4 linked regions of the Macaca fascicularis genome follow. The protein of the gene in region 3 purifies or fractionates together with the protein of the main gene of each other region. This does not show direct contact. Links are inferred from orthologs where the notes say so. Each region holds a gene or a part of one and is shown on either strand. Other genes may lie near its edges.

The links.
Region 1: the proteins of WDR76 (region 3) and HELLS purify together in Homo sapiens (affinity purification with mass spectrometry; 4 studies listed by BioGRID and IntAct, counting the BioPlex papers as one, with this or other methods). This does not show direct contact. The link is inferred for Macaca fascicularis from reciprocal best matches to the Homo sapiens genes WDR76 and HELLS.
Region 2: the proteins of WDR76 (region 3) and DNAJA2 purify together in Homo sapiens (affinity purification with mass spectrometry; 3 studies listed by BioGRID and IntAct, with this or other methods). This does not show direct contact. The link is inferred for Macaca fascicularis from reciprocal best matches to the Homo sapiens genes WDR76 and DNAJA2.
Region 4: the proteins of WDR76 (region 3) and CAMK2D purify together in Homo sapiens (affinity purification with mass spectrometry; 3 studies listed by BioGRID and IntAct, counting the BioPlex papers as one, with this or other methods). This does not show direct contact. The link is inferred for Macaca fascicularis from reciprocal best matches to the Homo sapiens genes WDR76 and CAMK2D.

The regions. Positions count from the first base shown.
Region 1 is NC_088383.1:103,329,126-103,336,900, forward strand, and holds part of HELLS (lymphoid-specific helicase), read left to right. Parts: intron 1-2,665; coding exon 2,666-2,788; intron 2,789-7,000; coding exon 7,001-7,057; intron 7,058-7,775. UniProt on the Homo sapiens protein: Plays an essential role in normal development and survival. Involved in regulation of the expansion or survival of lymphoid cells. Required for de novo or maintenance DNA methylation. May control silencing of the imprinted CDKN1C gene through DNA methylation.
Region 2 is NC_088394.1:42,895,849-42,904,183, reverse strand, and holds the start of DNAJA2 (dnaJ homolog subfamily A member 2), read left to right. Parts: upstream 1-2,810; 5' UTR 2,811-2,910; coding exon 2,911-2,988; intron 2,989-4,528; coding exon 4,529-4,588; intron 4,589-4,904; coding exon 4,905-5,128; intron 5,129-8,335. UniProt on the Homo sapiens protein: Co-chaperone of Hsc70. Stimulates ATP hydrolysis and the folding of unfolded proteins mediated by HSPA1A/B (in vitro).
Region 3 is NC_088381.1:20,419,137-20,426,911, forward strand, and holds part of WDR76 (WD repeat-containing protein 76), read left to right. Parts: intron 1-2,737; coding exon 2,738-2,830; intron 2,831-4,427; coding exon 4,428-4,483; intron 4,484-7,775. UniProt on the Homo sapiens protein: Specifically binds 5-hydroxymethylcytosine (5hmC), suggesting that it acts as a specific reader of 5hmC.
Region 4 is NC_088379.1:118,987,759-118,995,533, forward strand, and holds the end of CAMK2D (calcium/calmodulin-dependent protein kinase type II subunit delta), read right to left. Parts: intron 6,227-7,775; coding exon 5,998-6,226; coding exon of another isoform or gene 5,994-5,997; exon of another isoform or gene 5,954-5,993; intron 4,483-5,953; coding exon 4,416-4,482; 3' UTR 4,387-4,415; intron 3,178-4,386; coding exon of another isoform or gene 3,174-3,177; 3' UTR 1,057-3,173; downstream 1-1,056. UniProt on the Homo sapiens protein: Calcium/calmodulin-dependent protein kinase involved in the regulation of Ca(2+) homeostatis and excitation-contraction coupling (ECC) in heart by targeting ion channels, transporters and accessory proteins involved in Ca(2+) influx into the myocyte, Ca(2+) release from the sarcoplasmic reticulum (SR), SR Ca(2+) uptake and Na(+) and K(+) channel transport.

The sequences.
Region 1 (7,775 bases), on a different chromosome or scaffold from region 3:
AGTGCAGTGGCATGATCTTGGCTCACTGCGACCTTCGCCTCCCCGGTTCAAGCGATTCTTCTGCCTCAGCCTCCCAAGTAGCTAGGACTACAAGCACGTGCTACCACGCCTGGCTAATTTTTTTTGTATTTTTAGTAGAGACGAGGTTTCAACATACTGACCAGCCTGGTCGCAAACTCCTGACCTCGTGATGTGCCTGCCTCGACTTCCCAAAGTGCTGGGATTACAGGCGTGAGCCACCGTGCCTGGCTGTATCTAGTTATTTTAAAAATATGTGCTGGCCAGGCACCGGCACATACAAAAATTAGCTGCGCATGGTGGCAGGCGCCTGCAATCCCAGCTTTACTAGGGAGGCTGAGGCAGAGAATTGCTTGAACCCGGGCGGAGGTGGGGGCGGGGGCGGAGGCGGGGGCCAGCCAAGATTGCGCCACTGCACTCCAGCCTGGGCAGAAGGAAAATGTAAGGCAATATAAAATGATATCTTAGAGATATTGACAAGCTGGAGCAGCAAAACTACCGAAGTGCTAGGGCATCATTTAGAGTATAAAAATGAGCTTATATCCCGCATTTCAAACACTCTGTAAATGCTCAGTTACTTTTCTCTAAGTTGAAACCACCAATTACTGGGGAAAGGGGCAGTTAGATTTTATTGGTTGACTTTGTGTTTTCATTAATCCTTGTTGAAAAGTAGGGGAGTTGGTTTAGTTGAGAAAACAAAATACTAAAAAATCTGCCACTAAACTCTTTTAAGAGTTTGTCTAGACTGTATAAAATGAAAGATATCTACTATGTAATCTCTGAAAGTATTTTTAATTCTAAAGTTAAGTGTGATTTTTAGTGCTGTTGCTGAGGCCAATGTTGCTGAATTCAGGAACTTCTACAGTAATTGACAAAACTTGAGTTCTTCTGCTCTCATTTATCTAATCCTTCAGACCCCTCAGATGTTATCTATTTCCTGAAATCTGACTTCTCTGATCTTAGTGATTCTTAGACTTTTCCAGGATTTAGATAGTATTGTACAGTTTGCTGCTATGTGTATCTGTCTTTAATACTTGTTGTTTTCAGATATATTAATGCCTCATTTGTTGTATAAATCAGACTTTCTGTCTTCTACCAGTTATGTAATTTATATAATTGTTGCAGTACATGTTTGTTGATTTACTAGGCTGGATTGATGTTACAGAATTGGTAATCTTGGTTGGGCATGGTGGCACATGCCTATAATCCCAGTACTTTAGGAGGACAAGGCAGATGAATCATCTCTTGAGTTTAGGAGTTGGAGACCTGCCTTAGCAATAAAGCGAAACCCTGCCTCTACAAAAAAAAAAAATACAAAAATTAACAGGGCATGGTGGCATCTGCCTAGAGTCCCAGCTACTTTGGAGGCTGAGGTGGGAGGGTCCTTTGATCCTGGGATTTCAAGGCTTCAGTAAGCTGCAGTTGCACCATTTACAGCATGAGACCCTGCCTTAAAAAATGGGGTGCGGATGTTAATCTTGGCTAGATGTCTGTTTTGATTGTTAGGATGAATTGTGTTCATAGTATTTTTCTAAAATGTTCTATCCAGATAAACTTGTTTATTCATCTCAAACAGGGAGAGACTCTGAAAACTTGTCTTAGAATTTCCTAGTGTCACCTAGGCAGTTACTTTTTATGAGGTTGACCCTCATAAAAATTAATCAAAAATTAATCAAAAATTTCCCTTCTCTGTACGTAACAAGGTAATGTAATAACACGGAACCACAACATCAGTGTTTTAGCAAATTACACACTTAAGATTGCAAATGGCTACGTTTTTTTTTGAAATGGCGCCTCTTTCACCCAGGCTGGAGCGCGGTGGTATCATCTCAGCTCACTGCAACATCGGCTTCCTGGGTTTAAGCAATTCTCCTGCCTCAGCCTCCTGAGTACCTGGGACTACAGGCATGTGCCACCACGTCCAGCTAATTTTTATATTTTTAGTAGAGATGGGGTTTCACCATTTTGGCCAGACTGGTCTCAAACTACTAACTTCAGGTGATCCATGCTCTTCGGCCTCCCAAAGTGCTGGGATTACAGGTGTGAGCCACCGTGCCTCGCCCCAATTTTTTTTTTTTTTTAATTGATATAGAGTTTTGCTCTTGTTTGGAGTGCAGTGGTGTGATCTCGGCGTACTGCAACCTCTGCCCCCTCCCCGGGTTCAAGTGATTCTCCTACCTCAGCCTCCCAAATAGCTGGGATTACAGGCATGCGCCACTATGCCTGGCTAATTTTGTATTTTTAGTCGGGACGGAGTTTCTCCATGTTGGTCCGACTGGTCTCGAACTCTCGACCTCAGGTGATCTTCCCGCTTTGGCCTCCCAAAGTGCTGGGATTACAGGTGTGTGCCAGTGAGCCACCGGACCCGGCCATCAGTTGTTTTTTAAATAGACCTTCCAACTCAGTAGATGCCAGAAACCATGTGTTCAATATTTGAAATTATAATATTTTGATATACAAACTGCATCTATCAGATTACCTGTTGAACCCAAAAACTTTTCTTTTTAACAGTTATTCCAGTTTTTGGTTTGAAAAAGTGTTTGGTTTAAAAAATGTTACTTTAGCCATTTTTATTAAACTTTATGCCAAAATAAATCAATGTATGTCAGAAAGTGTTCATAATTATGGAAGTTTTCTCTTTGGATAGGCTCGCATGTCTTGGGATAGAGAGTCGACAGAAATTCGGTACCGTAGACTTCAACATTTGCTTGAAAAAAGCAATATCTACTCCAAATTTTTGTTGACGAAAATGGAACAGCAACAATTAGAGGTATGTATATGTAACTGACTATAAGTGAAAGCTTAAAAAAATTTAAAAATAGCTTTATTGAAGTGTACATTATATACACTAAAATATACAGATTTTAAGTGTACAGTTTGCTGAGTTTGACTAGTAAATATATAGATCTGTGTAACCACCAGCACAATCAAGACACAGTGCATTTCCATGAACTCCAAAAAATTGTCTTGTGCTGACAGTGATCCCAATGGCTGGTGTCCAGCAACCACAGTGCTTTCTGTCACTATAGACCAGTATTGTTTTTTCCTAGAAAATTGTATAAATGAAATCATGGTATTGTGCTTTTGTGAGTAAATAGTTGGTCTTCATCACCATTTGCTGGTATACAACTCTTAAAATCCTTGGAATCTTCAATGTTGTGTTTTTTTTTTTTTTTTTTTTTTTTAATGCTAATGATCAGTGGCTAGCAGCCCTTAGGTAGCTTCAGGATGGAAGCCTATGAAAGACAAAGCCTGGATTAGAGGGTTGGGATTTAGCCTCACCCTCAACCTTGAGGGAAAAAAGGGGGACTGAAAGTTAAGTTGTTCACCAGTGGTCATGATTGAATCAATCATGTCTATGTTATGAAGCCTTCATTAAAAACCCAAAAGGGCTGGGCGTGGCTCATGTCTGTAATCCCAGCACTTTGGGAAGCCTAGGTGGGTGGATTTCTTGAGCCCGGAAGTTTGAGACCAGCCTGGGTAACATGACAAAACCCTATCTCTGATAGACAGATTAGCTAGGTAAGGTGGCATGTGCCTCTAGTCCCAGCTACTTGGGAGGCTGAGGCAGGAGGAGGCTTGAGCCAAGGAGATTGAGGCTGCAATGAGCTGTGATGGCACCACTGCATTCTAGCCTGGGTGACAGAGCAAGACCCTGTCTCAAAAATAAAACACAACAGGCTGGGGGCTGTGGCTTACGCCTGTGATCCCAGCACTTTGGGAGGCCATGGTAGGTGGATCACTTGAGCCCAGGAGTTCGACACCAGCCTGAGTAACGTAGTGAAAACCCATCTCTGCCAAAAATATGAAAATTAGCCGGTCATGGTGGTGTGTGCCTGTGACCCCAGCTACTTGGGAGGCTGAGGCAGGAGGATCGCTTGAACCTGGGAGGCGGAGGTTGCAGTGAGCCGAGATTGCACCACTGGAGCACACCATCATGTCTGTCTTATTTTTGTATTTTTGGTAGAGACACAGTTTTGCCGTGTTGCCAAGGCTTGTCTAGAACTCCTGGGCTCAAGTGGTCTGCTTACCCTGGCCTCCCAAAGTGCTGGGATTACATGTGTGAGCCACTGCGCCCGGACTATCATATTCTTTATAATAAACCAATAAACTTTAGTGTTTCTTTGAGTTCTGTAAGCTCCTCTAGCAAATTAGTCAAACCCAAAGAGGGGCTTGTGGGAACCCTGATTTATAGCTGTTCAGTCAGAAGCATAGGTAAAGTGACTTGGGCCTTGTGATTGGCATCTGGAACTGGTAGGTAAAGTCTTGGGGACTGAACCCTCAACCTATGGGGTATGGTGCTGTCACCCGGTAGATAGTGTCAGAATTTAATTACATAGGCCGGGCGCGGTGGCTCAAGCCTGTAATCCCAGCACTTTGGGAGGCCGAGACGGGCGGATCACGAGGTCAGGAGATCGAGACCATCCTGGCTAACACGGTGAAACCCCATCTCTACTAAAAAATACAAAAAACTAGCCGGGCGAGGTGGCGGGCGCCTGTAGTCCCAGCTACTCGGGAGGCTGAGGCAGGAGAATGGCGTAAACCCGGGAGGCAGAGCTTGCAGTGAGCCAAGATCCGGCCACTGCACTCCAGCCTGGGCGACAGAGCGAGACTCCGTCTCAAAAAAAAAAAAAAAAAAAAAAAAAAAAGAATTTAATTACAATAGAGGACACCTAGTCGGTGTCACTGCAGAAATGCTTTTTGGTGTATAGGGAAAACCCCCACACATTGGGTCACAGAAGTCTTTTGTGTTGATTGTTGAGTGTGTAGGGAGAAACTGAGTTTTTTTTTTTCTCAATATTCTTGCACATATGCATTCTTTGTCTTGTTACTTTTGCTCAGTGTATTTTTGAGATTAATTCATGTCATGTTTTTCTGTAGGTTATTCTTTTTATTCCTGAGAAGGATTCCATTAAGAAATGTTGTTATTGGAGTGTAATTGACATACACTAAACTGCACATATTTAAAATGTACAATTCCCTAAGTTTTGATATAGGGATATACTTGTGAAGACATAACAGTCATGATAGTGGACATACCCACTGATTCCAAAGAATTCTTTCGGCTCATTTATAATTCTTCTTTCCCATCCCTACCCCATGTTCTATCCACAGATAGCCAATTGATCGGTTTTCTATTATTATAGGTTCATTTGCATTTTCTGTTGGTGATGTGTTCTTTTAGCTTTCATATATCTGAATGTCTTCACTTACCTTCGTTTTTGAAATACATTTTTACTGGTAAAGAATTGTTTTTCTTTAGTACTTTATTTCTTAGAGTACTTTAAAGATGTTTCACTGTCTCCTAGCTTATGTTGTTTCTGAAAAGTGAAAGTCCTGATAATATCTATATGTCTGTAAGCAGTTGGATTGCCTCCCTCAATCCCATTACCTTTCAGACCTGTCTCCAGATGTGTTTCCTGTCTTGGGCTTTTGCCCTTGCTATTTTATGCCTGGAACCTTCTTCCTCTAAATAACTGCATGGCTTAACTTCATCTTCAAGCCTTGACTTAAATGGTTTCTAGATGAGACCTGCCCTCACAATTTTAAGAAAGTTGCTGACACACCTGATTCTCTTTACCTTGTTCTGTTCTTCCCATTGCACTTTTCATCTGATATACATCTTTTTTTGTATTTATTGTTTGTCTTTCTACTAGACTGTTATGAAGATTTAAAAACTTGTGCAAATTGAGAGAATACAGTAAGTCCCTGTGTTCCCATCACCCACATTTACCAATTATCAGTTTAAATTTTGCTGTGTTTATAAAATCTCCTTTTTCCTTTGTTTGAAACCCTTTTATTGCTTTTTTATGATAAAGTAAAACAAATGGAAAAACAAATATTCAACTTAATGAGTTACACAGCATCTACCCCTTTCATCACCTCTTGGAAATGGTTTGAATTTTTGGTGTCTTTTAAACATTTGTAAGAGTATGTCTAGAATAGCTTTTAGTCTAGGAATAAGTTGATCCCTTTCTTGAGCACTCTACTTGATGCCCTTTATATTAAGAGGACTTTCCACTTTGGCTGAGAGAATGTGAGGTATACCTTATTATGCCTGACCCCTTGGAACATGAGCCTTTCCACCTACTTCTTTCTGGTGACTTTTCTCCTGGCCTTGGTTACCATGCACTTACCAGTAGTCAGCCCGAGAGAGAGGTAACAGTAGTCAGCCTGAGAGAGAGGTAACAGCTGCCTTTGTGCAGCTCTGTCCTCTCTGGTACTTGACCCTGGGAATGCTACTGCTTTGTTTTTTAAGTTTTTTGTTTTTTAAGTTTTGGGTTCTGTCTCCTCAACACAAAGAGACTGTTGGGCTCTGTTTGGAGTTTTCTCCATTATTTGTACTTTAAAATTGTATCGGCTGGGCGCGGTGGCTCAAGCCTGTAATCCCAGCACTTTGGGAGGCCGAGGCGGGCGGATCACGAGGTCAGGAGATCGAGACCATCCTGGCTGACACGGTGAAACCCCGTCTCTACTAAAAAATACAAAAAACTAGCCGGGCGAGGTGGTGGGCGCCTGTAGTCCCAGCTACTGGGGAGGCTGAGGCAGGAGAATGGCGTGAACCCGGGAGGCGGAGCTTGCAGTGAGCTGAGATCCAGCCACTGCACTCCAGCCTGGGCGGCAGAGCGAGACTCTGTCTCAAAAAAAAAAAAAAAAAAAAAAAAAATTGTATCAGGCAGTAAGCTGGGCAGTCAGAAGATTAACCTTGTTTCCCTTTTGTCAATGTTTATAGTTCGTTACTGCATGTTGTCTGAAAACCACTGTTTAATAAATTTTATCTGGATTTTAGTTTAAGGCAGGATGGTAAATCTGTCCCATTAGTCCATAAAGGCTTGTTGAAGTACAAGTTCCTCCCTGTTTTTTAATTATGATAGACCTTAGTTTCTCATTGTAAACATAAGTTATTTGATAATTGATATGCGTTTTTTTTTTTTTAATGGTGCACTTCCCACTTGTGACATAAGAAAAAATTATCTTACAGGAACAGAAGAAGAAAGAAAAATTGGAGAGAAAAAAGGAGTCTTTAAAAGTTAAAAAGGTAATATAACCAGCCAGAATATTTTTTATGTCATTTAAATATTGAAGAAATACTTTTGTATTCTTCTGACTTTTTTGATCATCTGTTTAACTTTAATTTTTTTTGGTTTTTTTTTTTTTGAGATGGAGTCTCGCTCTGTCGCCTCATCTCACTGCAAGCTTCGCCTCCTGGGTTCACGCCATTCTCCCGTCTCAGCCTCCCAAGTAGCTGGGACTACAGGCGCCCGCCACCACGCCCGGCTAATTTTTTGTATTTTTAGTAGAGACGGGGTTTCACCGTGTTAGCCAGGATGGTCTGGCTCGTGATCCACCCGCCTCGGCCTCCCAAAGTGCTGGGATTACAGGCATGAGCCACCACGCCCAGCCTGTTTTCTCTCTCTCACAACAGTTCTTATTAGGTAGAGGTACTTTTCTCCCCCATTTTACATAAATAGGCTGATGCAAGGAGATAAAGAACAGTCATTCTTCATTATTCAAGGATTCTATGTTTGTGAATTTGCCAACTCACTTAAATTTATTTGTAACCCCAGAGTCAAGATTCCTAACACCGTCATGGTCATTTTTGGACATGCTTATGTTCAGAGCAGCAAATAATTTTAGTCTTCCAATACATATGTTCCAAGCTCAGCTCAAACATGGGTTGCTACTGTATGTATGTCAAGCATATGTCCTCATGGTCTTCATTTAGCACCATGATTTTTGCATTTTTGTGTGCTTTT
Region 2 (8,335 bases), on a different chromosome or scaffold from region 3:
GTGGAGAAAATATTGCAAAGAAATGAAAATGAAATTCAAAAATAGTTACTGTGGTTACTGGTCTAGTCAGGTAAAAAAATAATAATAATAATAATAACAAGAACAAAAGAGGGAATTTACCCAGCTACTCTTCATTACAATATCAGAAGCTAAAATGGCATCAAGAGAGAATTTTTTCCCCTTGGAAAAAAAAAAAAAAAACTGAGTAAAACTGAAACAAATAGGAAACTCCAGCCCTTTTAAACTGTTCACGGGCAGAAGGCTAATAAGATAAAACAATATGAAATAAAAAAGATAAATTAATATGAAGGTTGCAATAAAGACAGATTTTCAGTTCATATTCTCACGTGGAGCAGGAACTAACAGAGAAATGAGACTGACAAGCAAGGAGATCTGGGAAGACGAGGTCATGAAAAGGGACAGACGGGCGTTTCCCATAGGTAATGGAGGAAGTCAGGGAATCCCAGTAGAAAAGCCAGAAATTTAAATGAGTAAAGACAATGTAAGCAAATAGGCCAAAAACAATAGTTAATACTTAATTTGTTTTAGCTTCTAAGTAATTTTTAAAATTTTAGTTATTTATTATTTTGAGACAGGGTTGCACTCTGTCACCCAGGTTGGAGTGCAGTAGTATGATCTTGGCTCACTGCAACCTCCACCTCCTGGGCTCAGGGGATTCTCCCACCTCAGCCTCCCGAGTAGCTGGGACTACAGGGGTGTGCAACCACCCCCAGCTAATTTTTGTATTTTTAGTAGAGAGGTGGTCTTGCCACGTTGGCCAGGCTGGTCTCAAACTCCTGACCTCAAGTGATCCATCCACCTCAGCCTCCCAAAGTTCTGGGATTACAGACCACAGCGCCCAGCCCTAAGTAACAGAAATGTATTAACTCTTTTAAACCAATGATATAAAAAATAATAAGCCCCATCTTACACCTGAGGAAACCACCTCAGAAAAGTTAACTTGTTGAAGGTCACATTGTTCCTAAATGACAGAGTCAGACTACCAACCGACACAATCTAACTTCGCCACAACTTTACACCTTTTCTTATGAACATCTCAAAATGTGAAAAGTAGAGAATTGGATTTCACAGCCATGCATGAGGAGGATGTCAGCATTTACACGGCAATCGTGGTTGGCAGAGGCAGTGGCTCAGGCCTGCAATTCCAGCACTTTGGGAGGCCAAGATGGCTGGTTCATTTGAGATCAGGAGTTCGAGACCAGCCTGGTCAACATGGTGAAACTCCACCTCTACCAAAAATACAAAAATTAGCCAGGCATGGTGATGGGCGCTTGTAATCCCAGCTACTCGAGACGCTAAGGTGGGAGAATCACTTGAACCCGAGAGGTGGAGGTTGCAGTGAGCTGAGATCGCGCCACTGCACTCCAGCCTGAGGGACAGAACGACACTGTCTCAAAAAAAAAAAAAAGAGTTCGGGATCCTACCACATTGTTGCACATTTTTTGTACCACAAAAGGTACAAACGAAGGGTGGTGGGAACTCGAATGAGACAGCAGTGTTCACCAGTGTCCAGTCAAGGAAGACTTCACAGAGGGAGCAGGATTTCAGATGGGATTTGAGGAAAAGGGTTTAAGGACTATCAATGACTTATCACTGATTACTCTTAGGGTTTTCGGGCTAAATTTCAGAGACCTTGTCATGGCATTCAGGCCCTCCACAACTAGGTCAAGGGGAACGCCAAGGAAGAAACATTATCCTGAGTAAGATGCTTATACTGAAGTCTTTGCTATCAGTTCAGGTTCCAAGGGATCATAAAATCTTACTTTTCTGTCTCCGTAAACCGTAAATGGGTTGAAGGCAGGCACTTTTGTAACACTCCTCTCTCCGGACCAGGCCTCTGTACATCATAGCACGTGGTAGATGCACAGCATTCACTTTCTGAGCGAAACTAAAACGAATGTAAATCAAGTCACCTGGTGGCCAGAGTTGCCTTACACCATCTAAACCTCTGGTATTAGCTAATTTTAAAGCTATCAAGAGGCTTAAACACGTGGTCCAGAAGCAACACGTGGACCTTGGTTTGGACTGGAATGCCACAAACCAATTGTAAAAGGCCATGCGATCATTTGAAAAACCTAAATATAGACTGGGAATTAGATTAAGGAATTGTTAATTTCATTAGATGAGATTACGTCGTCATGCTTTTAAAAGTTGTCTTAAATATATACACTCAGGGTATTTATGAATGAAACGGTTTCCCTGAAAACACCAGAGATGTATAGGGGAGCGAATGAAACAAAATTGGTAAAATGTAGCTAACTGCACTACGGGGTGTAATAGACTGCTTTTGTTGAATGTTTCATTATTCCCATAACATAAAACACAACATACACACACACACGCTCCCCAGTTTTTTTCATCGTAAGCCCCGAGGGAGCCAGACCCAGAGGGTCCACCGACGTCCTGGATTCTGAGAACGATTTCTGCGCGCCAGGCTGGCCTCCTGCAGGAGCCGGGGCCCACTTCCTTTCCCGACCGACTCGAAGCTAACGAAGCTGCCGCGTAGGCCTGTTAATCCCCTCAGTACCCAGTGCGAGGTTAAACACGCGACGTCGCAACCATGGCCTTTGAGAGGAAGCTGAATTCCTGGGGTGCGCCGTGTAGAGTTCATTTCCTACGTCGGCCCAGCACAGCAGCCTGGACCCAGAGGAGATCAGAGAACCAGCCACACTCTTCACCACCCCGACCCAGTGGCCGCGCCTCGGGCGCTCGGGGGCGGGCTCCGCACTGCGACGTCACGGCGCACCGTGCGCCCGGTCAAAGTTCAGCCCCGCCCCCGCTTCCCCCTCGCTGTCTCCCTCGGCCTGATCCGCTGCCGACGCCGCTTGTGGGCCCGGCTCCTCTGTCTGCTCCGCCACCTTCTTCCTGAGCACTGCCCGGCCGGCCGCCATGGCTAACGTGGCTGACACGAAGCTGTACGACATCCTGGGCGTCCCGCCCGGCGCCAGCGAGAACGAGCTGAAGAAGGTATCCGGGAGCGGGCCGGGCGGGCGGGTGTGAGGGGCGCGGGGCCTGCGCGGCCGGGGATGTCTTCTTCAGCCAGGCCGCGCTACTGGGCGGCCCGCGAGCCGGCGCCGGCCGTGACGGGCCCGGGCTGGGGATCGGCGGCGGCAGCGGCGGGACCGGCCTCGCGGCGAGCCGCGCCCTCCGGCCTCGGCTGACCTTGGGCCGCCGGCCCCGCCCGCCCGCAGATGCAGCAAATAAAACTCACTCCTGCGCAAACACGACGGTAGCCCTTCCTCCCTCCTCGGGCGAGCGCCGGTGGCCGGTCTCCCCCAGGAGGCAGCAGCTCGCCCGGCTCTCCGCGTCGAGGTCACCACCCCGGAAAAACAGGTTGGACCGAGGTGCTCAGCGCATCCCGGCCCCGGGAGAGAAGCTGTCCACCCCGCGGCCGTCGGCCCCGGGTCTGGTGCTCCGCGGGGAAAAACGGCGGGGAGGTCCGGCGGGGAGGTCGAGGCCGCCCCCACAGAGCGCCTCGGGCAGATGGGGTTGTTTCCTGGGATCCCCGGCTGCGGGCTGCGGGAGCTCCTCCCTCTCTTCCTCCCTCGCCCATTGACCCGGAGGTAGCGTGGGTCTGTGTTTGGATGCATTGTTCTGTGGTCAGGTAATGCTAATGTCCTGTACCTGCTTAGGAATAAGCCGTGGTCCCAGCCAAACGCCTGAGTGTGCAATAAACATGAATAGAAGGCCTTATTATCGCTGTTTGCAATGCTGCGATATCTTTCATCTCAGGATTTCAAAGCACACGAGGCGTTTAAGCCCCACAGCATCCTCACCGGGCTAAGAGCATCCGGATTTGTAAGCCGAGAAAAATGAGAATGCTCCTTAGGCAGTGAGAAGAGTGCAGTGGACTTCCTGTTACCTTACCGGAAATGCTAGTCTGTATTATATAATTCACGAGCCTCCGTAAATGAAGATTTAAGTGCTGTATGACCCAAACACCTCGTTGAGAGTGTGCAACTTCACTACCACCGAAGTTGCCACCACGACCCCAGTTAACCACCACGTGCAAATAAAACACCTAAAGACACTACCTGGGACCACCTTGACTTTTTCATGATGTTACAGTTAGAAGGAAGGCCTGAGCCATCGGGAGCAGGAATTGTGACTTTAGCTTGATTTATAGTAATGTTTTGCAGTCCGTAAAGCTTGACAGTCATTTATCTCAAATTTATTAGAGTGGTCTTGGTCTGGTTACTTGGCCATCAGACACTTGACGATAGGGAAAATATGGATAATGTTTGAACGTTTTCCCTATGGTATTGCTTCATTGTTTTATCTGGTTTTCACGTCACTGTAATTATTTTCAAGTATAGCTACAGTCTACTTGGTTATATTACATTAGTAAACAGTATCGTGAGGAAGTGCCAAAGAATACGAATAGAAAATATTTTTGGAAGGTTATAACTCTAGAACATTACTTTTCAGAAAAGTGGATGTTAAGTTATTACAAAACTTTAAACTGGTGTTTAGTTATAACCTTCTTTGTTTTTGTCCATTTTCAAAGGCATACAGAAAGTTAGCCAAGGAATATCATCCTGATAAGAATCCAAATGCAGGAGACAAAGTAAGTTATTTGCGATTTTTTTATTCCGGGGGTTTTAGTTTTAACTTAAATTGCCCTCCTTGAAAAAAAGGAATGTTGCAGGAAAAAAATCCAACTATGCCCACACAGCCACATTTTCATAATGTCAAAGAGTATTTTAGTTTTAGAATAAGAGTACTACCATTCTGAGGAGTGGTGGGTGGTAAATAGAAGCAGAATCAAGTCAAAGGTAACTTGTCCCTTTTATTAGAATTAAATGGATTCTGGATTCCTATAGCCTCTCCCCACTCTTCTATTTGAAAATGTAATTATTTTTATTTTTACCTTTTCTTTATAGTTTAAAGAAATAAGTTTTGCATATGAAGTACTATCAAATCCTGAGAAGCGTGAGTTATATGACAGATACGGAGAGCAAGGTCTTCGGGAAGGCAGCGGCGGAGGTGGTGGCATGGATGATATTTTCTCTCACATTTTTGGTGGGGGATTGTTCGGCTTCATGGGCAATCAGAGTCGAAGTCGAAATGGCAGAAGAAGAGGAGAGGACATGATGCATCCACTCAAGTGAATATCTTGTTTTGTTGTGTTAAAAAATTAGGTACTTTTTGTCAAGTGGAATATTGACTCAGTAGAAGAAAAAAAACTCATAGAATGTTCTGTCCTTCATTAGAAAAACTTCCATGTGCCTTGTCTTCTTTTGGTGACTAAATAGAATTTGATTATCTGACTGTTTCTATTTTGCTGTAGCTCTTAAAAGGATGGTAGATATTTTTTAATGAGAGGAAGGTGGTTTTATATGGTTCTGAGGCTGCTTGTTATTATAGGACTTAAAATTTCAAGTGTAAAGATCGTTTTCTTTTTTCTTTTCTTTCTTTTTTTGAGACTGAGTTTCGCTTTTGTTGCCCATGCTGGAGTGCAATGGCACAATCTCAGCTCACTGCAACCTCCGCCTCCTGGGTTCAAGCGATTCTCCTGTCTTCAGCCTCCCGAGTAGCTGGAATTACAGATGTGGCACCATGCCCAGCTAATTTTGTATTTTTAGTAGAGGTGGGGTTTCTCCATGTTGGTCATGCTGGTCTCGAACTCCCAACCTCAGGTAATCTGCCTGCCTCGGCCTCCCAAAGTGCTGGGATTAGAGGCGTGAGCCACCATGCCTGATCTTTTTTTTTTTTGAAATGGAGTCTGACTCTGTCACCCAGGTTGGAGTGCAGTGTCACCATCTAGGCTCACTGCAACCTCCGCCTTTCAAGTTCAAGCAATTCTCCTGCCTCAGCCTCCCAAGTAGTTGGGATTACAGGCACCTGCCACCATGCGGGGCTAATTTTTGTATTTTTTTAGTAGAGACAGGGTTTTGCCATGTTGGCCAGGCTGGTCTTGAATTCCTGAGCTCAGGTGATCAGGGATTACAGGCATAAGCCACTGCACCCAGCCTATTTTCTTTGAAGTATATGAATCTTCCAAGTTACCTTTTATTTAAAAACTAAAAATGAGTGACTGTCTGCCTACTTTGTGTACATGTTAGAGTCACTCATTACTTGATCCTCAGTGTGAACTCTCTTAAGTTGGTTTCCATGGAGCTTGCTGGCTTCCAGCCTGACATTAACCTGCCAGCACATGAATGGTGCCTGACCTTGATCTTAGACTGTGAATCCACAAGCCCTCTCCAGTATATGAAATTAGCTATTTCACTTTGCAAAATCTGGGAGGTCTTTTTTCCCATTCTTTTTTTCGATAAATTATTTTATTAGCAAATGTCAGTGGCTGAAGTTCAGATACTTAAAATATTTCATAATATCCTAGTTTATACACTTGAGTAAATTAGAGGAAGTCATGTTATCTGTTAACTTGAGTCTCATTGAATCCTTAAATTTGTTTTTTAAAAGAATTTGCCCTCAGAAATTAACATTTGAATACCATTCCAATGGTAATATTTGTGCAGTGCAGGTTAATTCGTTTATATTTTTCTTTAATATAGAAATGATCTAAAAAGAAAATAGGATCAAAAGAGTGCTGTCTGTACTTTATAGTTCTTCATGTTTAAAGAAATGTTATGCTATATAGTAAAACAGTTTTCTGTTGTTTTAACATTTCAAATTTTCCTGTTATTACAAATACTGTGTTTATAATACTGCATTCCATGATTTAATCATTTACCTTTTATATAAGGTATTGCCAGGTTTTTTTTTTCTGTAATAGATAGTGCTGCTATGAGTATCTTTATGTAAAGCTTTGTTTCTCCTTGGCAGAGATTCCCAGGCAGGCATGAGTGTTTTGAGGCTGATAAATACAACTAAATTGCCTTGCACAGAGGGATTGTGCCAGTTTAGGCCCCACTAGTGGAGAGTGCCAGCCCTGCCAAACCATTACCTTCATTTTTCTTTCCTTGGCCTTCTTTGTTGAAATGTGTCTTTTTTTCTGGCTTAGGGTACTGGTTGTGCATATCAATTGTAATTTAATATGTAGGGGGAAAAAGCCGATTTTTAAAAAATGATTTGTTACAGAGAGTATAGAAGATGCAACAAGCTTTTTTGTCTAAGACTCAGCTGTAGATAGGTCATTATTTGACGGTGTTGTTGGTAATGTTTTGTCCTTACATGTGGAATTTTTATCCTGTCTACAACAGTTTTAAGTTTCTGAGAATAGGCCGGGCGCGGTGGCTCAAGCCTGTAATCCCAGCACTTTGGGAGGCCGAGACGGGTGGATCACAAGGTCAGGAGATCGAGACCATCCTGGCTAACACGGTGAAACCCCGTCTCTACTAAAAAATACAAAAACTAGCCGGGCGAGGTGGCGGACGCCTGTAGTCCCAGCTACTCGGGAGGCTGAGGCAGGAGAATGGCGTGAACCCGGGAGGCGGAGCTTGCAGTGAGCTGAGATCCGGCCACTGCACTCCAGTCTGGGCGACACAGGGAGACTGTCTCAACAAAAAAAAAAAAAAAAAAAATAGTTTCTGAGAATAACAATTTTGAGAAAGTTTGAATATCACAAAATAGTGTAGGTGCTTTGTAAAATACTTTTAACTATTTTTTTGTTCCTGTAACTCCCAGGATTTTAAAGCAGATCATTACAGGATGACCATTCCTAATCTGAAATCTGAAATGCTCCAAAATATGAAACTTTTTGAGCACCATCATGATGCCACAAGTAGAAAACTCCACACATAAGTACTTGTCTCACTCTGTCCCCCAGGCTGGAGTGCAGTGGTGCGATCTCAGCTCACTGCAGCCTCAATCTCCAGGGCTTAAGCAATTCCCTGCCTCAGCTTCCTGGGTAGCTGGGACTTCAGACATGCCACTATTCCTGGCTAATTATTTTTTATTTTTTGGTAAAGATGAGGTCTCTCTAAGTTGCTCAGGCTGGTCTTGAACTGCTAGGCTCAAGCAATCCTTCCTCATTCTCCCGAAGTGCTGGGATTATAGGCATGAGCCACTGCACCTGGCATGAAAAACGATTCTTTCCCTCCTTTCTGTCATACTATTGGTAGGGCCACTTTTATTTTTTTTTTTAAGACATATGCCATCTAAGTGACTCACTTAAGCTGAAATACAACTTTGTAGCCTTTCTAAATTGTCCATGGAGCAAACAGGGACTCTGGAGCCAGACACCTATGTGATCTTGGGCAAGTTACTTGACTGTTCTGTGCCTCAGTTTTATCACATAAAATGGGAATAATAATCGTACCTCTTCTGAAGTGTTTTTCTTAGGAGTTGGGTGGAGGGCTTATGCCTCAGAACAGAAGGTTGTGATGTTTGAGTTTGTGAAGTCATCAGC
Region 3 (7,775 bases):
CCCAGGAGTGCAAGGCTGCAGTAAGTTTTAATCAAGCCAATGCACTTTAGCCTGGGTGACAGAGTGAGAGTCCATCTCTTTAAAAAAAAAAAAAAAAAATTGTGATGATATACCGAGGCCTGGGTTCTTCTTTGTTTTGTTTTGTTTTCTTGAGACGGGGTCTCACCCAGTCGCCTAGGCTGGAGTGCAGTGGCACAATCTTGCCTCATTGCAACCTCTGCCTTCTAGGTTCAAGCGATTCTCCTGTCTCAGCTTCCTGAGTAGCTTGGACTACAGGCACATGCCACCACGGCCAGCTAATTTTTGTATTTTTAGTAGAGATGAGGTTTCACCATGTGGGCTAGGGTGTCTCGAACTCCTGACCTCAGGTGATCTGCCCACTTCAGCCTCCCAAAGTGCTGGGATTACAGGCATGAGCCATCGTACCCGGCCTGCTTTTTTTTTTTTTTTTTTTTTTTTTTTGAGGCAGTCTTGCTCTTGCCCTGGCAGCTAGAATGCAGTGGTGTGATCTCGGTTTTGCAACCACTGCCTCCTAGGTTCAAGCAATTCTCGTGCCTCAGCCTCCTAAGTAGCTGGGATTACAGGTGTGCACTACCACGCCCAGCTAGTTTTTTTTTGTATTTTTAATAGAGACGGGTTTCACCATGTTGGCCAGGCTGGTCTCCCATTCCTGGCCTCTAGTGATCTGCCTGGTGGCCTCCCAAAGTGCTGGGATTACACGCGTGAGCCACTGAGCCTGCTTGCCTGAGTCCTTTTTCATTCATTATGCTGTATACTCATTGGGCTTTTTGTAACTGGAAGCTCATGTCTTTAGTTTTGAGAAACTTTAAAATAATATTTTTGTTTTCAGACTATTATTTTTTAGAGATGGGGGTCTCGCTCTGTTGCCCAGGCTAGAATATCGTGGTGTCATCATAGCTTACTGAAACCTTGAACTTCTGGGCTCAAGTGATCCTTCTGCTTCAGTCTCCCACTTACATTATTTTTCTTTCTGTCTTTTCTTTTTCTTTTTTTTTTTTTTTTTGAGACAGAGTCTTGCTCTGTCGCTGCCCGGGCTGGAGTCCTGTGGCATAACCTCCGTTCACTGCAACCTCCATCTCCCGGGTTCAAGCAATTCTCCTGTCTCAGCCTCCCGAGTAGCTGGTACCACAGGCGCGTGCCGCCATGCCCGGCCAATTTTTGTATTTTTAGTAGAGATGGAGTTTTGCCATGTTGGCCAGGATGGTCCTGATCTCCTGACCTGGTGATCTGCCCGCCTCGGCCTCTCAAAGTGCTAGGATTACAGGCTTGAGCCACTATACCCGGCCTCCCATTTATATTATTATTATTATTTATTTTTTTTGAGACGGAGTCTTGCTCTGTCATTCAGGCAGGAGTACAATGGAGCCATCTCGGCTCACTGCAAGCTCCACCTTCCAGGTTCACGCCATTCTCCTGCTTCAGCCTCCTGAGTAGCTGGGACTACAGGCGCCCGCCACCACTCCCAGCTAATTTTTTGTATTTTTAGTAGACAGGGTTTCACCTTGTTAGCCAGGGTGGTCTCGAACTCCTAACCTTGTGATCCGCCCACCTCGGGCTCCCAAAGTGCTGGGATTACAGGCGTGAGCCACCGCGCCCGGCCTTTATTATTTTTTAATGATTGATTCTCTTCCAATTTCTCTGCAGTTTCTCAAACAATGAATTGGATATTGGACCTCTAAGATTGAGTCTGTTTTTTGTCTTTTCTGTCCATGTGTTTATCTTTTTGTTCTACTTTCTAAATTTAAGGCTTTTAATGGATTTAAAAACTTCTGTTCTTATTTTTTGAATTTTCTTATAGTATTTTGCTATTTCCTGAATATACTGTCTTATATCTCAGGGTTTAAAAAAACATTAGCTTACTGTTACATTAGTGGCTCTTTAGGAGAAAGTAGAGACATGTACTTACTCTACTGCATTTAAAGAAAGTTTTTTTGTTTGATAAAAATAACTTTTTTTTTTTTTTTTGGAGACGGCGTTTTCGCTTTTGTTGTCCAGGCTAGAGTGCGATGGCATGATCTCGGCTCACTGCAACCCCCGCCGCCTGGGTTCAAGTGATTCTCCTGCCCCTGCCTCCAGAGTAGCTGGGATTACAGGCACCTGCCACTACACCTGGCTAATTTTTTTTTTTTTTTTTTTTTGCATTTTTAGTAGAGACAGGATTTCACCATGTTGGCCAGGCTGGTCTTGAACTCCTGACTTCGGGTAATCTGCCTGCCTTGGCTTCCCAAAGTGCTGGGATTACAGATATGAGCCGCCACATCTGACCAATTTTTATATTTTTAGTAGAGACGGGATTTCACCATTTTGGCCAGGCTGGTGTTGACCTCCTGACCTCAGGTGATCCACCTGCTTCAGCCTCCCAAATTGGTGGGATTACAGGCGTGAGCCACCATGCCTGGCCAAAAATAACTTTTGAGTAATAGTACAATTAATTGCCACTAGGAAATAATTTGCTACTAGATTATACTACTTGATTTCTAATAACAGATCACTTCTTAACTGGGAAGCCATACAGATACTCTGTGAGTATCCCAAATTCAGATTTACTGAAATATCCAATTCAGCAAACGTCTGTTTTGGTTAGATGGCATGAAATGAATAGAGGTAGTACAATTTGAAGTAAAGTATTCATGTAGAAAATGAAACACATAGTTTTGTGAAGTGCTTTTCCTATAGATTATATAAAGTAATGGAATCTTTTTGGTAAATTTTATAGGATGATTTTTCGGGATTGTCACCCTACGAAAGGAAGAGACTGAAGAACATATCAGAAAATGCAGACTTTTTTGCTTCTCTTCAGTTGTCTGAGGTTTGTGTGGAGTCTGTATTTAAAACCAAGATGCTGGGCCAGGAGCAGTGGTTCACGCCTGTAATCCTGTCACTTGGGGAGGTGGAGGTGGGAGATCAACCTGGGTAACATACGGAGACCATCCCCCACCTCTATAAAAAGTAAATTAGTTGAGCATAGTGATGCATGCCTGGAGTCGTAGCTACTGGGGTGGCTGAGGTGGAAGTATGGCTTGAGCTTAGAAAGTCGAGGCTGCTGTGAGCTACGATCGTGCCACTGCATTCCAGCCTAGGCAACAGAGCAAGACCCTGTCTCAAAACAACAACAAGAGCAATAAAACCCAAGATGTCATAACTCCCACCAGAAGGTCAATAACATACCAGGTTTCATAGTGTCAGATGAGGAAGGCTAAAATAGGAGCAGGTTTTGCACTTAATAGGAAGAGGTTACTGTATTCCATTGATTCGAAGGCATTTTTTTTTGTCCTTTTTTTTTTTTTTTTTTTTTGGAGGCAAAGTTTTGCTCTTGTTGCCCAGGCTGGAGTGCAGTGACGTGATCTCGGCTCACTGCAACCTCCGCCTCCCGGGTTCAAGCGATTCTCATGCCTCAGCTTCCTGAGTAGCTGGGATTACAGGCGCCTGCCACCATGCCTGGGTAATTTTTGTATTTTTAGTAGGGATGGGGTTTCACCATGTTGGTCAGTCTGGTCTTGAACTGCTGACCTCCAGTGATCTACTCGCCTTGGCCTCCCAAAGTGCTGGGATTACAGGTGTGATCCACCACGCCTGGCCTTTTTTTTTTTTAATTTTTATTTTTTGAGATGGAGTCTCGCTCTGTCGCCCAGGTTGGAGTGCAGTGGCCAGATCTCAGCTCACTGCAAGCTCCGCCTCCCGGGTTTACGCCGTTCTCCTCCCTCAGCCTCCCAAGTAGTTGGGACTACAGACGCCCACCACCTTGCCCGGCTAGTTTTTTGTATTTTTTTTTTTTTTTTTTTGAGGCGGAGTCTCGCTCTGTCGCCCAGGCTGGAGTGCAGTGGCGCGATCTCGGCTTCACTGCAAGCTCCGCCTCCCGGGTTCCCGCCATTCTCCTGCCTCAGCCTCCCGAGTAGCTGGGACTACAGGCGCCGCCACCATGCCCGGCTAATTTTTTTGTATTTTTAGTGGAGACGGGGTTTCATTGTGTTAGCCAGGATGGTCTCGATCTCCTGACCTCGTGATCCGCCCGTCTCGGCCTCCCAAAGTGCTGGGATTACAGGCTTGAGCCACCGCGCCCGGCCGTTTTTTGTATTTTTTAGTAGAGACGGGGTTTCACCATGGTAGCCAGGATGGTCTCGATCTCCTGACCTCGTGATCCGCTCGTCTCGGCCTCCCAAAGTGCTAGGATTACAGGCTTGAGCCACTGCGCCTGGCCTTTTTTTTTTTTTTTTTTTTGAGACAGGGTCTCGCTGTGTTGCCCAGGCTGGAGTACAGAAACGCTGATCATGACTTATGGCCTATCTTTAGGATCTTTAGTTCCTGAATAGACCTTAGTTTAACGTGGGTATAGTAGCAGATACCTAATATTTTTAAAGGTAAGATATGTAGTTAAAACATTTTTACATGATTTTTATACTTTACAGTCTGCTGCAAGACTCCGTGAAATCATAGAGAAGAGACAGCCTCCTAAATCCAAGAGGTAAAATACCTGGTTTGCAATGCCTGAACCATGATACATTGCTCAACTGTTTTATAATTTGAAAAAAATGGTTTGGCATAGTAAGCTTAACAGATCGTCAAGTGCTGTTTAACTTCAGTCCCTCTAGGATCTCTGAGGTAATGCTACCCTTTAATAACTTTACAATTCTCATCTTCATCAAAATAATATGGAGCAAATACAATTGAGAGCTGAAATTTGTTTATATTTGTTGTTGCTATAATGGAGGGAAATCTTTTTTTCCACTAAATTATTGTTACTTAGAAAACTATTATTCTTAAAGACTCTTCTACTTACTTTTAATTTTTCTAGCTGTCTTTTTGCGTCTCAATTTGTTTTTGCTTTCTTAGTCCTAGAATAAAGGAAAGGAATTAACATTTATTGAACATCTATGAAACATACTGCAGTGATCTAGCAATTTTGTCATGTATTATCTCATTTAACTCTGACAACCACTGTATCCATCCATGTATGTGGTAGGTAATATATTCATTTTGTGAGTTAGAAATCTGGCTCAAAATATAAGATTGTTGGCTGGGTGCGGTGGCTCATGCCTGTAATCCCAGCACTTTGGGAGGTTGAGGCAGGGGGATCACCTGAGGTCGGGAGTTAGAGACTGGCCTGACCAATATGGAGAAAACCCATCTCTACTAAAAAAAAAAAAGTTAAAATATTAGCCAGGCATGGTGGCAAATGTCTGAATCCCAGCTACTCAAGAGGCTAAGGCAGGAAAATCACTTGAACCTGGCAGGCGGAGGTCGTGGTGAGCCAAGATCACACCATTGCACTCCAGCCTGGGCAGTAAGAGTGAGACTCTATCTCAAAAAAAAAAAAAAAAATTATTTGCTGAAAGTCAAAACAGCTTATAAGTGGTTTGAACTCCAGGGTTTTTAAATTTTGAATTATCTCCATTGCATTTTGGTAGTGCTTACATGTAAATGAAGAAACTAAAAATCTTGGTATCATTAGCTCATTTGTTTAGTGCCAGATGCTAATGAAATGTAGCTTCATTTACTTGGTTTGATTCTGTTACAGGACAATTAGCTTGAGAAAAGCTAGACCTTTAATCATGGCCAGGTATTTTCAAGTATGAAAAGTTACTGTAAGAGGAACATCATTAACACTGGAAAAACAGTAGCACTGGTCCTGTTGCCAGCTGATTAGTACCTTTACATTTGAATGTTTTTTATTAGCCAAGATAGGTGATTTCTTCCTAAATCACAAAATTCCAGCCCTTAATAGTTGCATAGGTAGTAGCAAGTTGATAGTATGGAAGTTGCTTAATGTAGAGGAAGAAGCATAGGCTTTGAGATGTAGCAAATTTGGGTTCAAGTTTTGATTCAGTCACTTACAGCTATGATATTAACCTTGGATACTTTATATAATTTTTCTTTCCTTTTCTGTAAAACTGGTGTTATGCTAATTCAGAAGGATTTAAATTTTTTTGAAAATTATTAAATATACATATAAAAAGGTACATATAATGTATTTGTGTAGTTGAAAAATTATACAGGTCCCAACCATGTACCTGCCATCCAGGTTAATAGAAATTATGAGTACCCCCGAAGGCCCATATATACAGCTCCCTCCAGATACTACCACTATGCTGACTTTTGTGATAATATTTCCTTGCATTTATTTATAGTTTCTTTTTTTTTTGAGACAGAGTCTCACTTTGTTGCCCAGGCTGGAGTGCAGTGGCGTGATCTCAGCTCACTGCAAGTTCTGCCTCCCGGGTTCACACCATTCTCCTGCCTCAGCCTGCCGAGTAGCTGGGACTACAGGCACCCGCCACCATGCCCAGCTAATTTTTTATATTTTTAGTAGAGACGAGGTTTCACCGTGTTAGCCAGGATGGTCTCCATCTCCTGACCTTGTGACCAACCTGTCTCGGCCTCCCAAAGTGCTGGGACTACAGGCGTGAGCCACCGTGCCCAGCCTATAGTTTCATTTTTATTTATTTATTTATTTTTGAGACAGTATCGCTCTGTTGCTCAGACTGGAGTACAGTGGCGCCATCTTGGCTCACTGCAGCCTCTGCCTCCCAGGTTCAAGCAATTCTCATGGCTCAGCCTCCTGAGTAGCTGGGATTACAGGTGCTCATGACCATGCTTGGCTAATTTTTGTATTTTTAGTAGATACGGGGTTTTGCCATGTTTGCCAGGCTGATCTGGAACTCCGGACCTCAAGTGATCCGCCTGCCTCAGCCTCCCAAAGTGCTGGGATTACAGGTGTGAGCCACTGCGCCTGGCTATTGATTTATAGTTTTACTACCAGTGAGTGTATCCTTAAACACTCTATTGTTTAGCTTTGTCTTTTTTTGGTGTTCACATACAATATGCCATTTTTATATTCTGAGATTTTCTTATTTTGCTCATCTTTACATATTTATGCTTTTAAATTTACCCATGTTGATGTGCACAGCTTTATTTCATTCTTTTTTTCTGCTATATGATATTCCACTGGATAAATGTACTACATTTTATTCCACTGTTGATGAACAATTGAGTTGTTTCCAGGTTTTTATTATGAAAAGTGCTGCTCTAAACATTCTTAAGTCTCTTAGTGCTTATGTATGGGAGTTTCTCTAGGAGTAGATTTCTAGGAGGATTGTATGACAGCCCATATTATTCCATATACTCAGGCGTATTTTTTGAGGATTAAATATGAGATGGAATGTGGAGTACAGTTTTTAGTATATAGTATACTTTCAATCAATAATAGTTTTTAGGCCGGGCGCGGTGGCTCAAGCCTGTAATCCCAGCACTTTGGGAGGCCGAGACGGGCGGATCACAAGGTCAGGAGATCGAGACCATCCTGGCTAACACAGTGAAACCCCGTCTCTACTAAAAAATACAAAAAAAAACTAGCTGGGCGAGGTGGCGGGCGCCTGTAGTCCCAGCTACTCAGGAGGCTGAGGCAGGAGAATGGCGTAAACTCGGGAGGCGGAGCTTGCAGTGAGCCGAGATCCAGCCACTGCACTCCAGCCTGGGTGACAGAGCCAGACTCCATCTCAAAAAAAAAAAAAAAAAAAAAGTTTTTACTAATTCTCGAACTAATGTGGACTATAGCTGATAATTTTTTGTGAATTTTTGGAAATAATTTCAGAGGCTTCTCTTTCCCTGACATTTTAAAATGAATTTTTTTAAAATGAAAAAATAGTGCATAAAAAATAGGGACTGTATATTATTTGAAAAGTAAACTGCCAGGCGCGGTGGCTCACGCCTGTAATCCCAACACTTTAGGAGGCCGAGGCGGGCGGATCATAAGGTCA
Region 4 (7,775 bases), on a different chromosome or scaffold from region 3:
TTGTATACCCTCGTGAGTAAAGACTAATAACAATAGGAATATTAATATCAGTGATCAGAATAGTTATACTGCTACCATTTAATTTCTATCAAATATCATTCTAGTCACTCTGTACCCATTAATTCTCACAATATCTTTATTAAATTGGTATGTTTATTCTCATTTTACAACTATGGAAACTGAGGTTCAGAGGGAAGAGGTAACTTGCTCAGAGCATCAAGACAATGGTGAGAGAACCCATCATTAAATCCAGGACCATCTGAGTACACTTTGAGGCTTCTGTTATCAAAAGGGGTTGGCCTCAATTCAACAACTATTTGTCAACGATATCTCCATTCCTGGCCCTGGTTTGGGTTTAGGAATGCAATGATGAATACACAGTTCTTGCCTACAGCGACATTATACTGCAGTAGAGGAAACACAAATAGAAATATATTTTCAAAACAATGTGGTTGGCAGGAGAGGTAAATACAATCTATTATGCAAGTATTGAGAGGGAAGGCAAGCCCAGAATAGGGCCTAGGAAGGTTTGCTGTGGAGCATGATGCTCTACACTGAATCTTAGGAAAGAGTAAGAAGTAGTGGAAGACTATTTATTCTAGGTAAGAAACATAAACATGAACAGCATAAACAGGCATGTGAGCAAGTGGATGTTTTTAGCAAATCAAAAGAAGCTGAGCATCCACGTATGCTCTAGTTCAAGTTGAGAAGTAGCAGGAGCTGGGGTGCTTGCCTATATTCCAGAGATGATAACACCAAAGCGTTACAAGGTCAGGTTTGTGTTTAAAAAAAAGCAGCCATGTGAAGGCTGGATTGGAGGGTATAGTATAGAGAAGCTTTTAGGAGTCTTAGTTGTTAACTATGTTGTTCTCAGCAACAATTTCCCAGAAGAGACCATTGTTTTGCTCATAGAGAACTATTAACTTGCCATTCCCACCAAGTGCAAATTGTCATGTACTGAATGAGGACAGAGCAGGATACACTGCCCTTGACACTGGCCAGCACCATGCAGACATAAATACAGTAGCTCTTCTGAAGAAATAAAGATGGACGCACTGTCAGCAGAAATCACAAATTTATTAACTCTTAAATATATCAATCAGTCATTTACCATTATGGCAAGAAATATATACAGTGTCCCATGGTAAACTGCAGTGTTTCAAAATGATAGAAGATAATAAATGTGTAGTTCATTTGTGGTGGAGAGAACAAATCACAATTTCCTCACATCTTAGTGCGGAAGACAAACTTGATCTACAGTAATACTTCAACACCACATGCTAAAAGTGTAAAAAAAAAACACTCTACACCTATTTTTTTCTTTAAATACATGTATGCCACATATAGCTGCTTCACAAAAGGGTAAAAGAAATTAAAAAGGGAAAAATGAGGCCATTATTTTTTTCACAGATCTCATTGGCAGGTTAACATGGCTCAATATATTGACTGTATATATTTATTTTAAATATATATTGTTTTAAATTGTGTAATAATTATCAGAAAAGCTTCAACCCATCTACCATACATCCACTAGCAATAATATCTAAGATGATTAGTAATCAACACAGAAAGGTCAGATGAGAGAAAAGACGAAGGGTTGTTTTTGCTGCTTTGTTTTCCTTTTTTGCTTCTGCTTTAAAAACAGGCTTCTGAGGACTGTGAATTACTACCGTTAAAATAACAATGATGGAGATTCCATGCACTGTAAAGCATTTCAGAGAAGAGAACAAAAAAATCACAGGAATTCAATCAACAAAGGAAAAATGAGAAGCACAAAGAAAACCTAGGACATTTCCCTTTTTGTTTTAAACTGGAAAATCCTAACTCCTTGGAGGAAGATAACGATACTCTGATTCAAGAGAGAAGCTAAAAAACACAAGTCACAAAGATCAAGTTCAAAACACGTATGAGAATGGCAAACATTTGTAAGCCTCTCTAACGCTAGAAAACTAGCTAGTGATGATGCAGAAGTGACCCTTTCATTCCCCAAGGCGGAGGTGAGTGCGTTTGCATAACACCCCCTCTGCTATCAACTTGGTATCCTCCTGGCAACTGTCCCAATCAGTAAGACGTTGCAGTCACAGGAGGAACTTGCTTTTATCCTAAGTTTAAACAATTCAAATACCTCCAACATAGTTAGGATACCTAAGTCCAAAGTAGAGCTTAAGCAGAATTATAAACCTTTAAAATCTTGACAACATTTTTGTGGGCCCTGAAGATGATCAAAAGTGCTAGTTAAGCCACCTTCAAAAGGCTTTTATTTCCTTTTTACCTTCATTATGCAAATTTCACTTTTTTTCTTTTCTCACACACTACTAGCCGGCCTCCTCAAAAAAGGAAAAGGGAAGAAAGTTAGAAAAGAATGGAACAAAAGAAAAATAAAAAAGGAAGCAAACGAAAGGAACAAAGAAACAGGATAAAGAAAAGAGATCACAGATTCGAGAAAGAAAAACAATTCAATTCAGCAAATTCACCAAAACAATGTGAATATATCCTAAAGTGATTAAACTCAGAAATGATGTGAATTTTTCCAGTTTACACAGTTTGACCAAAAAGAGCATGGCTTTATGTGGTAGCAAACCAACTGATTCTTGCTTCTACTTTCATAAGTGATTTTGCCCACATATCAACCCACTTTAATTGCTAATCAGCAAAACTTCCCATGAAAAATCATCCATTTTAACCAGGATCACACCAGGAAACTGAAGGTATATGTTTTTACCTTAAAAAAAACAAAAACAAAAACAAAAAAACCCAAAAAAACCAAACAAGCCAAAACAGATTAACAGCAAAGAGTTCTAAAAAATTTACATTTCTCTTACAAACTGTCATTCAGAGAACAATAGTTCTTAAGTCTGTTAAATCTTGGCATTAACAGAGAAACTTGATGAAGAGTTGTACTTGGAATATTGTGGATTTTTTCTTTTTGTCTAATCTCCCCCTATTGTTTTGCCAACAGTAATTTAAGTTTGCACGGAACATCCCCGTAGTTGAAGTGTAAACAATGTATAGGAAGGAATATATGATAAGATGATGCATCACATATGCATTACATGTAGGACCTTCACAACTTCATGCACTCAGAAACATGCATGAAGAGGAGGAGAGGACGGCCCAGGGTCACCATCCAGGTGCCTTGAGAACAGAGAATGCAGAAGTGGCACTGTTGATATTTAGCTGAAAGGAGAAAGGGAGAGGAAGAAATAAATTATATTGTTTTACAAAATATCATCAAATTGCTTTGCCATAGATTTGACTATGCTACAGTTTTATAACTTGGCTAACAAATAGATTGAGAACACTATGTATAAGAGATGTTTGCTTGTGATCATTACAGGAAGAAACACACAATGTTACACAAAGACAGTATTAAAATAGAAAATGAGTATTAATTATTTTTTCACACAAAGCTAAGCTAAAAATAAAGAGACAGGGACCCAGGCTTCAGTCACGTTATTAAATCTAAGTATACATCTTAAGCATTCCTGTTTACTGGACAAATTAGTAAATGAATATAATCTTTTTGCTGAAATAGACTTAAAATTCAAGTTCATCCTTAGTTTTTGTTATTATTATTAGATTCCTTGGGAAATTAAACCTAGAAGTCAATTTAACAAGGAATATAGTCTCAAAAGTAGAGAGAACATGATTACTCTCTTTAATTGGAGCTCTCCTTTGCTGAAAGCAACAGCTGGGAGCACTATTTGTTAAAAGCTCTGATAAGGTTTAGTTCTCTGAATGAGGCAAATATTCACAACAGCACCATACATATCTGAATACTTGTAACCCAAGTCTAAGAAACAACTAATTAAAAACAACAATAAAAGCATGAAGTTAATTACAGTCAACTTTCAATTATCCTCTGGAATTACCCACTTTGTGAGTTTTAAATTTCAGCTTGACTCCTCCTGTGGCCTGTGCTCATGGTCAAGCACCATTATACTCAGTCAGGCACAGCAAATTGATTTACACATTCACCATAGCCAGCTGCTTATAGAATTGCAACCTCTTGAAAGAATGGTTAAGACACCAGAGGATTCTAAAGCTTAATATAAATTAAGTAAGGATAATTGAGAGTTATCTGAACTGACCTAGACATAATTTACTTTTGATGTGAAAACTTCAGGATTCTAACATGACATAATCCACATGTTGGAAAAAATTCATTTCAATGTTTATTACCTTTAAAATAAGGATTATGCTACCAAATAGGGCTGAATGTTAGATTCAAAAGCTCATGCAAAATTGCTATGAATTTTCAAAGACCGTGTATGTTTTTCATTGAATATTATGCAAGAAAAAATATCCTCAAAAGGAAGGAAAACAGCCATGCAGCTTTTCATTCAGCTCCAATCACAAAGTATCACGGAGCAGGATGTTACTTACAAGACCCATATGTGAATGATTTTCAGGCCTTAGATGTTTTGCCACAAAGAGGTGCCTCCTGAGAAGTTTTCTTTCCCATTTGGAATACAGGGTGGCCTATTAAGAGAAGCCCCATTTAAGCCACCTGGCATAAAATGAAGTTTTCTTGAATAGGCTTCATCCCATAAACACTTCAGGGAATTGTAAAAAAACCTAACCCTCTGGTACTGTATGAATGTAACCCCTTCTATATTAACTGGTGATTTGTGCTGTACCTCTTTGGGGTAAAAAACACACAAAAACAGGTGTCTTCATTATCTTCATATTCCTCTTGTGTTTTTCTCTTAATTACATAGCTATGGTTTTGGGAATAAATTTCAGCCTATCGTTTGGTTTTGTTTTTTTTTTTGTCCCTGTTGACCCACTTTTTACAAATCCAACAGTGATATATAAGTAGTAAGTCTATACAGAAGGCCTCTGAAAACCACTGTGGTATGTTATCAAACTAAGAAATCATGATGGATTCTCTGGAGTGAGTTGAATGGCTGTTTGTATGAACCCCCATTCCAAATCCCAAATATTAACAGGTGATCCTGGTGAGATAATTCGGAAAGAGATCAACAGTGGACCAATCTTCTACACTGAGTTTAAACGCTTCTTGTTTTCTTATCACTCCACTTTACTAATAAACCTATTTTCAATTATTCCTCTTTACTCTAGTTGTAACCGGCATTCCTTACCAATAATGTTCTCTCATATTAAACTAAATCCTGATATTGTACTTTTCTTCACGATGCTCCTTTAGCCTGGACTATTCTCCTTTGTTTTTTCTATCTTTCTATGTCTCTAAATTCTACTCATCATTTAAGATTTTGTCCAAAATTCTATCTTATACACAAAGTGTACTTCCAAACTGTTATAAACAGTTTACTACACTGTTCATGAATTTTACTGTATTCTTAAGTTGATGATAAAGTTTATTATATCATTTTTTTCTTTAGAATCAATGATTGACTAAATGAGAATGCATGTTCCTTGAAAGCAATATCTTTTACCTTGTGTTGAATCTGGCGCAGGTTAAGCACCTAGGAGATTCACAATAAATATGTGCCTAATCGCTGACTGGAAAAGCAAATGATATCTGAGGTAGAGTGGTGAGGTGAGAACGACATTGCACTACCTGACAATGGCCTTTTAAAAGGGTCTCTGTAACTGAGCTTTAGGGGATCGTCCATGAAATGAAACTCCTGATAATATATTGGCCATTTTAGAAACTCCACCCTATGCTTTCCTCTGATATCCCCTTCTGTCAATTGAGAAAATGAAGTCACAAATATTTTGCCTTATTATACAAATCCCCTAGATTTAACACTGTGAGATTTTGATATGGTAGTCTCTAGTCCTATCCAAACCTATTGTATACTGCTCTATAGCAAGTTTCAACCCACAGATGGCTGATCTGATTGATCTTTCCAGAGAATCATAAACCTTTCCCGTGAAGTCATTTATTTTCATCAGTGTAACCAACTACTAGCATTAAATAACATATACCACGCTATTAACAATGGAATAAGTAGAAGAAGCTGACCATGGGTGTATTAACAAAGAAGCTGACAGCCTGGGAATATTTACTTGATGGGTACTGTTGGTGACCCCGAGCGATGAAAATGAACATTCTGCCACTTTCCATCCCGACGGTGCCACACACGAGTCTCTTCTGACTGCATTGTCTTTGGCATTCCACTGCCATCCATGTACTGTGTGAGCCTAATATACGCTATGCAGGCGGCATCATCCCCTACCAGGTGTACATGAGGGTTTAGAATAATAGTGTGGATTGGTTTATTGCTTTTGGACAAAGCTGAAAGAGAAAAACATGAAAAGCAAAATTTAGTTTCTATGTAAAGGAAACTAAAACCAGTAATAACTTCAGTTAGGACCAATACATGAAATGCCATTTATTCAGTCAGTAATTAATTAGTTAATTAATCTACTATTTATACTAATCTGGTACTGGGCACTGTACAAAGCAAGGAAAGAACAAAAGTGGACGTAGTCTTTCTTTTATCTGGTTTCCTTCACAGGCACTTATATGCTCCTCTGGAAATACTGATCGGGTGAGAAAGCTGGAGAGATATATTTATTTACGAAGGAAAGTGGTTAGAAACAGAAATCACAACGTGAACAGAGGTGAAGAAGGCCTGGTCCAGGTGTGCCAAGCAGTTCCTGTCTTTTCCAGGAATGAACTGCTGGGACAGTTGACCAGGGATCTTGCGGTGGTGTTTGTTTTTGTTAGTTGGTGAAGTATGTGGGAGAAGGGCAATATATCAAGTTTCAGGTATGGATATCACTGTCTCCAAAATAAGGCTGGCGGTAGCCTTTGAACAAGCCTATGAACTTGTTTCTCATCTCATCCTCTGACTCCTCCACATACTAGAGTCTATTCCATGATAGTCCACTGTGATCATTTGATAAACATTCAAAATGTGGTGTTGGCACACAGCCTGATTCTGATCTTCTAGCTCTTTCCCTTGCTTGAGTAGCCCTCACTATGCTCCAGACTCTGGTGTTTTAACAGTAGCTACCAATTCTAATTATTCAATTACCAAGAGATATGAGGAGGACTAGGGCACATCACTTACTGATGCTGTTCCTTTCTTAGATCACTAGAAAACATTGAATTGTTTTTAGCTGTTATCCAAACATGCTTTCCATTCTCAGAAAACATCTATTCAAATTATACAAAATATTATTATAGTCACCTGAATACCCCATTATGAAGGAATTACATTTATGGAACATGATGTATAGTGTTATGCTGAAATAGGTTAAAATATTAATGGGTTAATTCTTTCATTAGGGATCAGACGATGTCAACAGAGAGTTAGTTGGAGGAAACATGAGATGCTATCAGAACACTGGAATATAGGGAATATGATAACATTTACTGAAACTTTGAGAGAGAATTTATCAAATGGTTCTTTTTGTTTATTTGTTTGTAAATGCCTGATGCATATAAGAAAAAGTAACTCATTCAACACATCTTACTTCGAAAATCCATGCCAAAGCAGACATTCTTATCAAAGCTTATAATTACTGAAAGTGATGTGATTATCCCAATTATTCCTATAATACATTTCTTCTTTAATTCAATAAGATCTCTGCAAAAATAGTACATTCACTTAATGCAATATGCAAACACAGCATAATGTCTAATGTCATTAGGTGTAAGGAAAAAGAGAAGGATAAAGGGAATTCCTGGTTTACATTTTTCTTGATGACCTGAAGGATTTCTGCAGGATGAACTTCTTTTGTCACCTTCTTTGAAAAGTGGTGGTTTCCTCTGAAACTACCACAATTCTTAAAATTTGAATTGAAAGATTTATCTGATTACTCAACTTGATTTTCAT